3 linked regions of the Cricetulus griseus genome follow. The protein of the gene in region 1 interacts with the protein of each later gene in a pairwise test. Links are inferred from orthologs where the notes say so. Each region holds a gene or a part of one and is shown in the gene's direction. Other genes may lie near its edges.

Evidence for each region.
Region 2: the proteins of Ndn (region 1) and Fxr2 interact in a two-hybrid assay, tested with the Homo sapiens proteins (2 studies listed by BioGRID and IntAct). The link is inferred for Cricetulus griseus from reciprocal best matches to the Homo sapiens genes NDN and FXR2.
Region 3: the proteins of Ndn (region 1) and Mkrn2 interact in a two-hybrid assay, tested with the Homo sapiens proteins (2 studies listed by BioGRID and IntAct). The link is inferred for Cricetulus griseus from reciprocal best matches to the Homo sapiens genes NDN and MKRN2.

Annotation. Positions count from the first base shown.
Region 1 is NC_048596.1:135,134,282-135,136,822, reverse strand, and holds Ndn (necdin), read left to right. Parts: upstream 1-956; coding exon 957-1,934; downstream 1,935-2,541. UniProt on the Homo sapiens protein: Growth suppressor that facilitates the entry of the cell into cell cycle arrest.
Region 2 is NC_048600.1:83,475,765-83,479,517, forward strand, and holds the start of Fxr2 (fragile X mental retardation syndrome-related protein 2), read left to right. Parts: upstream 1-910; 5' UTR 911-1,266; coding exon 1,267-1,347; intron 1,348-3,753. UniProt on the Homo sapiens protein: mRNA-binding protein that acts as a regulator of mRNAs translation and/or stability, and which is required for adult hippocampal neurogenesis. Specifically binds to AU-rich elements (AREs) in the 3'-UTR of target mRNAs.
Region 3 is NC_048601.1:29,241,960-29,245,712, reverse strand, and holds the start of Mkrn2 (probable E3 ubiquitin-protein ligase makorin-2), read left to right. Parts: upstream 1-1,373; 5' UTR 1,374-1,485; coding exon 1,486-1,511; intron 1,512-3,753. UniProt on the Homo sapiens protein: E3 ubiquitin ligase catalyzing the covalent attachment of ubiquitin moieties onto substrate proteins.

The DNA of each region.
Region 1 (2,541 bases):
TATATGTGTATATTGTGTAAGTGTATGCAAATTTATGAGAAGGGTGTTGTGTATCCTGCTCTATTGTTCTCTACCCTATTCCTTTGAGACAGGATCTCTCACTGAACCTAAACTTGGGCTGGTTTCTGGCAAATGCCTGTAATTCTCCTAATTGTACCTCTCAGAGCAGGGTTTACAAACACAGACTATGCCATTACATTTTTTGTGAGTCTTAGGGATTTGAACTAGGGTTCTCACACTTGCACTACAAATGCTCTTACCCATGGACTGAGCCAATTCCCATCCCAATAAAAAAATGTTTAAACACACACCAATTATGCTATATAATTTTATTACTTCCAAAACATTCAAATTCCACTTGGGCTGATTTCCAGTGTCTGTAATGACACTTTATATTCTTCCGTATTGGATCTGGACTCAGGTTTGGTAAAGATTTGCTCTATTAATTTTTCAACATTCCAATCTTAAACATCACATTATCTTCACAATGCTCGCACTTCCAAAAAAAAAAAAAAAAATCAAAAACTCATTACTGTCTCACTCTTTTGTAGAAAGTCCAAGCTCTCTAGCCAGTCTACCCCCTTTCACACAAAAACTCAAAGGTGCTCTAACTTGACTTCACCATCTCAGCTGCATCTTTCTACTTAAACTTGCTCCTTCCCCATCACCATCTCTTTCTAGCTCACCCAGGAGACCTGGAGATCTTTCCCATTAGTTTAGTGGTACCCTCCCTCAGACCCCAGTGGTTGGGCTTTGCATCTCAGCTCCTATCCAGCCCTACCACCCTTCTGGCTTGCCAACACGCATGCGCAGTGTCAAGTCCGCCCCGCCCGGCCGCTGCTGCGGAAGGCACAGCTCTCAGTAAAGCGCACTTCCTCTGCTGGTGTCCACTGAGGGAGTGCTGGTTCCAAGAGCTCCAAGTCGCAGCGGTCCTGCTCTGATCAGAAGGCGCAGACATGTCGGAACAAAGTAAGGACTTGAGCGACCCTAACTTTGCACCTGATGCCGCCAACTCCGAGGTGCAGGAGAGCTCTGAGATTCCGGTGGGGGTCCCTCCTCCCACATCTCCAGCCGCGATCGTCGCAGAGGCACCAGAAGCTCCTGAAGGCCCTATGGCAGCCCGGCAGGCCTCGCCGCCGCCTCCAGAAAGGTTAGAAGATATTGACCCTAAGATTCTGGAGCAGGCCATAGAGGAGGGCCGCGCCCACAATCCCGATAGCCCGGTCCGTCAGCTGCCAACACCACCCGCCCCGGCCCAGGTGGTGCAGAAGGCGCACGAGCTCATGTGGTACGTGTTGGTCAAGGACCAGAAGAGGATGGTCCTCTGGTTCCCAGACATGGTGAAAGATGTCATGGGCAGCTACAAGAAATGGTGCAGAAGCATCCTCCGGCGCACCAGCCTCATCCTTGCCAGAGTTTTTGGGCTGCACCTGAGGCTGACCAATATCCACACGATGGAGTTCGCCCTGGTCAAAGCCCTCAGCCCAGCAGAACTGGACAGAGTGGCGCTGAACAACCGTATGCCCATGACAGGCCTCCTGCTCATGATCCTGAGCCTCATCTACGTGAAGGGCCGCGGGGCCAGAGAGGGAGCCGTCTGGAATGTGCTGCACATCCTGGGACTGAGGCCCTGGAAGAAGCACTCCACCTTCGGAGACGTGAGGAAGATTATCACCGAGGAGTTCGTCCAGCAGAATTACCTGAAGTACCAGCTTGTTCCCCACAGCGATCCTCCTGAGTACGAGTTCTTCTGGGGGTCCAGAGCCAACCGTGAAATCACCAAGATGCAGATTATGGAGTTCCTGGCCAGGGTCTTTAAGAAAGATCCCCAGGCTTGGCCCTCCCGCTACCGAGAGGCTCTGGAGCAGGCCAGAGCTCTGCGGGAGGCTAATCTTGCTGCCCACTGCCCCCGCAGCAGTGTCTCTGGTGATTAGGAAGGTCCCCAGCATGTTGATAATTTCTGACCCATACTTGGGCTGTATAAGGGTGGGGTTGGGTCATTAGAGTATTCCACATTCACAGTGCAGTATTTCATGTGTAACCTTTAAGTTTTCCTTACAGTGCTTTTGTACCTTTCAATGCAATATATTCATTTGTGTTCGCTTGGAGCGTGTTAAGGATTTATGCATGTGCGTTTACAAGTAAGCAAGTGGATGCTTTCACTTCTGTGCTTTTTTGTACAAGAGATGTGCTGTGCTGAACCTGTGAAATCCATTGAGATGTTGTGTATCTATTCTTTGTATGAAAGTGATGATCTGTATCAACATAAAAGCCCAGGAGAGTTAGGAGGTGAGCAAAGCAGGCCTGACCAGAGAAAGGTCAAGGGCCCTCTTATATGAACTCAACTGGCACAGGAAGCATCCCTGTGGAATGGACTGATTTGAACTGGAATGTTCTCAGTGTAGGCACTTAGCACACCCTACCAAACATGTATACAACCCCACCATAAATAAACTTTGAAGTGAGCATTAAAGATCCTTGTGGAATAATTTCTTTGGGGGGGTATTTATTTTGTGGGAAGGGGGGTTGGGATGGGAGGGA
Region 2 (3,753 bases), on another chromosome or scaffold:
CATGTGATGGTCAGAAGACAACTTGCTGGAGGTGGGGGTAGCTCCAGGAATTGACCCCAGTCGTTAGGCTTTATAGTTGAGCATCTTCAAGGACCGATTTTGTTTTGTTTTGTTTGAGAATTTTTCCTGTCTTGAATTTCCTTAGCATTTATGTATCAAATCATGTTGCATTTTCTTTTCGATATGGGCTTGAATTTACTAGAATCAACTTAAGGCAAGCAGGGCAATGACAGGCATTTCTGTAATTTTTGCACTTGGGAGGTATCAGGAATTCAAGGTCACTCCCCAACTGCTTAGTGAGTTCGTGGTCAGCCTAGGATACAGGAGACCCAGTCTCACCAAACTTAAGAAAATCCACTCCAGCCAAGAACCGTGACTCTTGAATCTCCTACAGATGCAGAGAGTCAACACATGCGCATGGACACCAAAACCCGGGGCGCGTGCGCACCGGACACTTTTTGCCTTCGGGCTCCCCCCCACCCCTGCCCGCACTTTGGAGTGTGCGCACCAAGAAAGACAAAGGTGGTGAAAGTGACCAAGCAGTCATTCCGGCGCATGCCCATCCCTAAATTGCTCCGGCTCTGTGGGGCTCACTTGGTGGAGGCGGAAGTCCAATCCGACGGAGCGGGCGCGGCCCCTCCCTTCTCGTGATTGGTTTGCTCACAGTGTTGTGGGGCGGGGAAAGGAAGGGACAGGGATAGTGGAAGGCTGGGGAGCTGGAGATAGAGCGTTCATCTGGTTCTGCGCAAGCGCAGAGGAGCGACCAGGAGGGGGCGTGAGAGAGTAGAAGAGAATGTGGAAGCCCTGACGCGCTGGCGAGCCGGAGCTGGGTCGCTAGCCTGGACGCCTGCGCCTTGGCCCTCGGGCTCCGCGCGCGGCGGGCGGGTGCCCTGTGCGCCTGCGCAGTAGGCGGCGGCGGCGGCGGCAGGGGAGGTGGAGGCCGTGGAGCGGCAGCGGCAGCAGCGGGTCCCGGACTGAGGCAGCAGCGGGGGGCGCCGGCGGGCGGAAGCTGAGGTGACGAAGGCGACGGCGGCGGCCGTTTCTCTCACGGTGGCGGAGACCAAGGCAGTGGCGGACGGGGAGCGGCCCGGCCCCGGCCCCCTGCTCGTCGGCTGTAGCAGGGCCGCCGTGGGGCCGGCCCGACTCCCGCCCCCCGCGGCTCCCCCTCCAGCTCCTCCTCCTGGGAGACGCCGGGGGCCCGGCCCGGCCCGCACTCAGAGCTCTGCCTCCGCTGCTGCCGCGGCAGTCGGAGGTGGTGGCGGCGCCATGGGCGGCCTGGCCTCTGGGGGGGATGTGGAGCCGGGACTGCCCGTCGAGGTGCGGGGCTCCAACGGGGCCTTCTACAAGGTGAGACGGTGCGTCGACCCGGGACACCCTCCTTAGCCCCCTCCCCCAGCCGGAGCAGGGAAGAGTGGAGCGGGCTCGAGTTTCTGGAGCTCGGTCCTGACCCTTAGAACCTCGACCCACGCTCCCACTCGACACCCTCTCGGGGAGACCGTGGGAGTTAACCCTCGTGCTTTTTTCTTTTTGAGCCCGCTGTTACACCTGCTTTCATCCTCAGCTGAAAGCATGAACATCAGGTCATTACTGCGCGTGGATGGGCGCTCCTGGTCCCTCCGGAGAAACCCCTTTACTCAGCTTCTAATTGACTTTTCTTGTTTCTTAGTGGAGGAGCTACTTCAGCTCCTAATCACATCCTTTCCACGGCACAAGCACATGGGAGAGTCTTTCTTTTCCTACATAACCCTCTTGGGAAGGCCCACTGTCCCATATTAGGTCTTCGGTCTTCAGGGAGGTTTCTGCCTACTGGCTCTAAACCATTTACTCAACTTTCATCTTATATTGTAGGTCTCCATCTAAGAAGAAATGATCAAAACCCACGTGTGTTATTTAGCATCTTTGGCCTCAGGCTTTATCAGCCATAAAAGTGGTCTTGTTGGACAAGTCTGTCACCCCACCACACCTTTATCCCGAAACCAGCTACCCAGAGATGGATTCGTGTTTCTCTCTTAGACTACAGCTACATTTAGGTCATTCCTGTGTTTTCTTAAGTTTAGGCTTCCTTAAAAGGGTGTCTCAGCAAGCTTCTTTTCTGTCCTTATTCTAACAGATTTCTACTTGTTGACAGTCTTTTCTGGAAAGAGAAAGTATCTTTCAGAATTGCTAATTTCAGCATTTCTTTGCCCAAGATTTGATTCCTTTGAAGTGTTTTGGGGGGTGGGGTTGTAACATGTCCTAGCCCAGGCTAAACTCCTACCTCAGCCTTTCAAATTCTGTGACTATATTACAGCCTCGATCTATCAGACCAGACCGGCCTTTTGTTTTTTCCTTCTTTCTATTCATACATCCATCCGACTCTCTGCATCTGGGCTCCCCCTCCCCTCCAGTTTAGATTAAGAGTGACTCTTCTTGCTCCACAACTGTTTTCCTTTATCTGGTAGGTGGAATTCTGAACCTCTTTTGAGGTTTTTTGTTTTTGTTTTTTGTACCCCAAGACAGGGTTTCTCTGTGTAACCTTGGCTGTCCTGTGCTCTGTAGACCAGGCTGGCCTCAAGCTCATAGCCTCTGCCCCCAGCACCGCCCAACTGTTGACTTTTATGTGTGGAATTGTCCTAGAAACTTTTGATCCACCCCTTACTCTTTACTCTGAAGAGGGATTTTCATAGCATCAGGTAAGTTAGAGGAGCTGCCTCACTTGAGTTCTCAGGTCCATTCCCCTTCCCCAGGAGACCTTTCTGCTTTCTCATGCCCTTGGAAACTACTTTCTCTGACTACTATGAAATTGTATCTTTTGTAGCTGAAGAAGGACTTGTGCTTGCCCTTGTAGATGGTTTCTGCCCCCACTTGACTGATAAGTTGGATTTTACTCACTATAAATGCCATGCCAGTTTTGCCTGCCTTTTCTGATTAAGTTCTTTACCCTTTATTCAGTGCATATGGGTGTACATATCTATTAGTCTCAGCGTATCCTCTCAATTAAATCTTGGGCTGTTCATCTTGATATATATATTTAATTTTATGTACAATGGTGTATTGCTTGCATGTATGTCTGTGTGAGGGTGTCAGATCCCCTGGAACTGCAGTTACAGACAGTTGTGAGCTGTCATGTGGGTGCTGGGAATTGAATCAGGGTCTTCTGGAAGAGCAGCCAGTGCTCTTACTGTGGAGCCATCTCTCCAGCCCTTAACTTGATGTTTCTGTATTCCTGTGTAATCTTCACTGATGTCCATCTATTCTTTGTATAGCTGAAGAAAGCTCCCAGCTGATCTCTGACACTATCACTTTCCTTGCTAACTCTTGGTACTTTTTCTTCTGACTGGAAGAATATCTTGATAACATTTGTTTTCTGTGGCAAAAGTCTCAAATTCCTATCAGGTTCTGTAGGACACACACACACACTTTTTTTTTTTTTTTTTTTTTGCGACCGGGTTTCTCTGTGTAGCCCTGGCTTTCCTGGAACTCATTGTGTAGATGTAGACTGGGCTGGCCTACACTCACTGGGATGGTTCAGCTTCTGTTGACTAGGGGATTAAAAGCATCCACAACCACGCCCAATTTGGAAAATGATTGTTAAATTGAGTATGAGATCAAGATAAGATACTTTTGTTCTAGAAAGCATGGGAGCCTTGCACAGCTGAGAAGGATTAGTGCTGAGTTCAAATTAACTGTATGAAATGGTTGGGAAGGGTGTGTTTTCTGTTACATATGTGAGTATCCAGTATCAAACAGATAGTCTCTGGATTTTTTTCATTT
Region 3 (3,753 bases), on another chromosome or scaffold:
CCCCCGCCTTGCCCCACACCAAGTCCCACTATATAGTCTTGAGTAGTCTGTGTACACCAGGCTGACCTCAAACTCATAGAGATCTAACTATCTCTGCCTCCTGACTAAAGAATTAGAATGAAAGGCATGGACCACCACATCTGGCCATAGGCCCAGTCTAGTGCAGGTGGCCACAGCTGCTGTGAGTTAACATGTCCAGAAGACTGCATGTCCTAGCCCTCCTCCCATCCTCCAGCTTTTACGTTCTTGCTACCCTTTCTTGGGTGTTGACATAGATGTCCTACTTAGAGCTGAGCACTCAGCAGACCTTACATGTTTAATACATTGCATTACCTCTATACAAATGGAACAAATAAGCACAATGTTTCTTGACCAACATGCTGTTAATTTCTATACAATGCCAATTCAATGCAGAAAACTGGGAGACAGTTTTACAAAGCTGAAAATACAACTATAGTTTGCAAGGATCAAAATTGTGTGTGTGTGTGTGTGGGAGAGAGAGAGAGAGAGAGAGAGAGAGAGAGAGAGAGAGAGAGAGAGAGAGAGAGAGAGAGAACACAGAGAGAGAGTGTTTGTGTGTGTGTGCATACTGCTTCAGTTTCTGTTTCCAGTTATGTATGCCTGTGTATTTACATAAAAAGACCAGAGGGTGAGAGGAGCTATTTAGGTTGGATATGATCAAGATACGTTGTACACATATCTGAAATTATCAAAGAAATAAAAACATTCTTATTAGAGGATGCTCTAGTGGTTAGGAGCACTGGCTGCTTTTGCAGGGGATGGAGTTCAATTCCTGGCGTCCACGTGGCAGCAAACAGCTGTCTGTAACTCCAGTTCCAGAAGATCTCACTCCCTCTTCTGGCCTGCGCAGGCACTGCACGCACAGAATGCACAACCACACATGCAGGCAAAAATACCCGTATCATAAAATTAAAAAAAAAAAAAGTAGCTGGGCGTTGGTGGCGCACGCCTTTAATCCCAGCACTCGGGAGGCAGAGGCAGGCGGATCTCTGTGAGTTCGAGGCCAACCTGGTCTCCAGAGCGAGTGCCAGGATAGGCTACACAGAGAAACCCTGTCTCGAGAAAACGAAAACAAACAAACAAACAAAGTAAAATTACTTTTGAAAAAGACTGTCTTGGGGAGATGGAGCCAACCTCTAGGAAGTAACGGCCCTGCAGACGATTGACAAGCCTAGGATGCCAGACAAGCTCCGCCCCGTAGTCTTGGAAACGTGAGACCCGGAGCGCTAGGGCGTAAGGACCTTCCGGCAACACGCCCCGGCGGAACCAATTATGACGGCGGTTAAGTTTCCGACCGGCACCCTATAGGTGACGCACGCGCGGGGGTGGTGCGCGCGAGAGTGACGCGACTGCTTGCGCGGGGCGGGGCGGGGCGGGGCGGGGCCGGGCTGGGCCGTGGCGCTGGCAGCTGTAAGATTTCAGCGCGACTCCAGCCCGTAGCCCCGCCGCCGCCGCCGCGCCGCCATGAGCACCAAGCAGGTCACCTGCAGGTAAGTGCGCGACGTCGCGGGGCCCTGGGCGCTGCCGGGGGCTCGGAGGGAGGTGCGGGGTCGCGCCGAGCCGCGGCGGGCTGTGTACAGCGGCGATAACACGCAGGGGCCCGAAGGCCGCGGGGGGCTGGAGCGGCGAGAGCAGCTGCAGCGGCGGCTTGCAGAGGGCGAGCGAGGCGGGATTGCGGGAACCCCGGCTGGTCGCATTCCTCATCCGGAGCGGAAACCCAGACCGCCGAGAGAGGCTAAAGCGAGACCCCTTTAGGAGCAGAAAGACGGCAGTAGTGGCTGGCTTGTTAGGCGAAATGGAGAACCAGAAAGCTGCCCTGTGACTGCTATTTTGAAGTAAAAAATAGTAGTTGGGTTGAATAGCAACGTCGAAACTCGGTTACTGGGGTTTAGTCCTGTGGATTTGCATGCTTGGGAAGTGCAGCTTGTGAGCATCCCGAATGTAAAAATCCAAATTTCGAAATGCTTCAGAATCCCAAACTTTTTGAGTTGCCGGCATGGTGCGACGAGTGGAAATTTCACAGCATGAAATTTTGTTATATTGAAATACAAAGTTATCTCGGAGATATTGTACAATTTTTTTTCAGGATATGTATATAAGCGTATATGAAGTGATGAGTTCTGTGTTTACACTTTTGTGCCATCCCCAAAACATGTACATGAAAATACTCTAAAGTACAAAACATTCAAGACACTCCCCAGACCAAGCATTTTGGATAGAAGAGCCTCAGCTTATACAAGTTTCAGTTGGTTTTTGTAAATTAAGAAACAGATGTAGTTTGGTTATGTGATAAGCATTTCATCTAATACCTTGTTGCTTCTCATTAGGGCGGGTACCTGATGCCTTTATGAAGAGTTCGTTTCGAATTCGATATAAGGGTTGAGCCAAGTACCCAGGGCCCAGGTGGCTTATGTTAAGTAGTTACCAGAAAAATTGCAGTTAGTGTCTGTGTGTTTTGTGTTTACTTGACACAAGTCAGAGTCATTTGGGAAGAGGGAACCTCAATTGAGAAAATGCTCCTATCATACTAGCCTGTGGTTCATTTTTCTTTTCTTTTTTTTTTTTTTTTTTTTTTTTTCAAGGCAAGGTTTCTCTGTGGCTTTGGAGGCTGTCCTGGAACTAGCTCTTGTAGACCAGGCTGGTCTCGAACTCACAGAGATCCTCCTGCCTCTGCCTCCCGAGTGCTGGGATTAAAGGCGTGTGCCACCAACAAACCCCCGGCTCATTTTCTTGATTGATGTGGGACGGCCAAGCTCCCTGTGGGTGGTGCCGCCTCTGGATTAGTGGTCCTACCTCTGGATTAGTGGTCCTGGGTGTTGTAAGAAAGGCTGAGCAAGGCGGGGCTGTGGTGTTGTGTGATGCTGTGTTGGCTGTACCTGACAAGACATCTTAATAAAGGAAGGGTTTATCCAAGATGAAGAGGGAGTCGTTGATAGGAGCTTGAGAGAGTTGATCACATCACACCTAGAGAGCAATGACGGTTGGTGCTCAGCTCACTTTTTCCTTTTTATTCAGTGTTGACTCCAGTCTAAGGAATGATACTACCATGTTCATGATGGGTCTTCCCACCTCAGTTGACTTAATCTACAAAATCCCTCACTGACATGGCCAGGGACTTGTCTCTTTAGGCATTGCAATCAGTGGCAACTATCACAGTCCTGATCTATCAGCTGGTCATCTTCCTCAGTGAGACAACCTCAGGACTGTCAGGGTTTCCCTAAGCTTAGCTTCAGAGTGGCACAAGTCTATTGCTAACATTGATTCTCATGACTTATGCCCACCACTACCCCGCTAAACTGTGAGTCTTAATTTCACGTATGTGGAGATCACAAAACACTTTTAAAAATACTGTGTCTGGAAGGGTGCAAGTGAGCCTGGGTGCGTGCATGCATGTGTGAATGCCATGCAGTGGTTTATGTGTGAAAGTCAAAGTACAGCCTACAAGGATGGGTCCTGCCGTGGTGGCAAGAGGAGATGGAATTCAGGCCCAGCAAGCATTTTCCCTCTGAGCCGTCTCACTGGCCCAGTGAAAGGTTTCTGAACATGCATGACGATAACTCAGAGTCAAAATGTGATGGATCCAAGGTGTTTCTTCTGTGCCACAGAGCTTGCTGCTCCTTGATGCTAAGCACAGGGTACACCAGGCGCTGTGCATGCCTTCATGCTACCCACTGCTCCAGTCAGTTCAGATTCTAGACTGTTATATTTTATGAGTTGCAGGGTGTGTGTGTG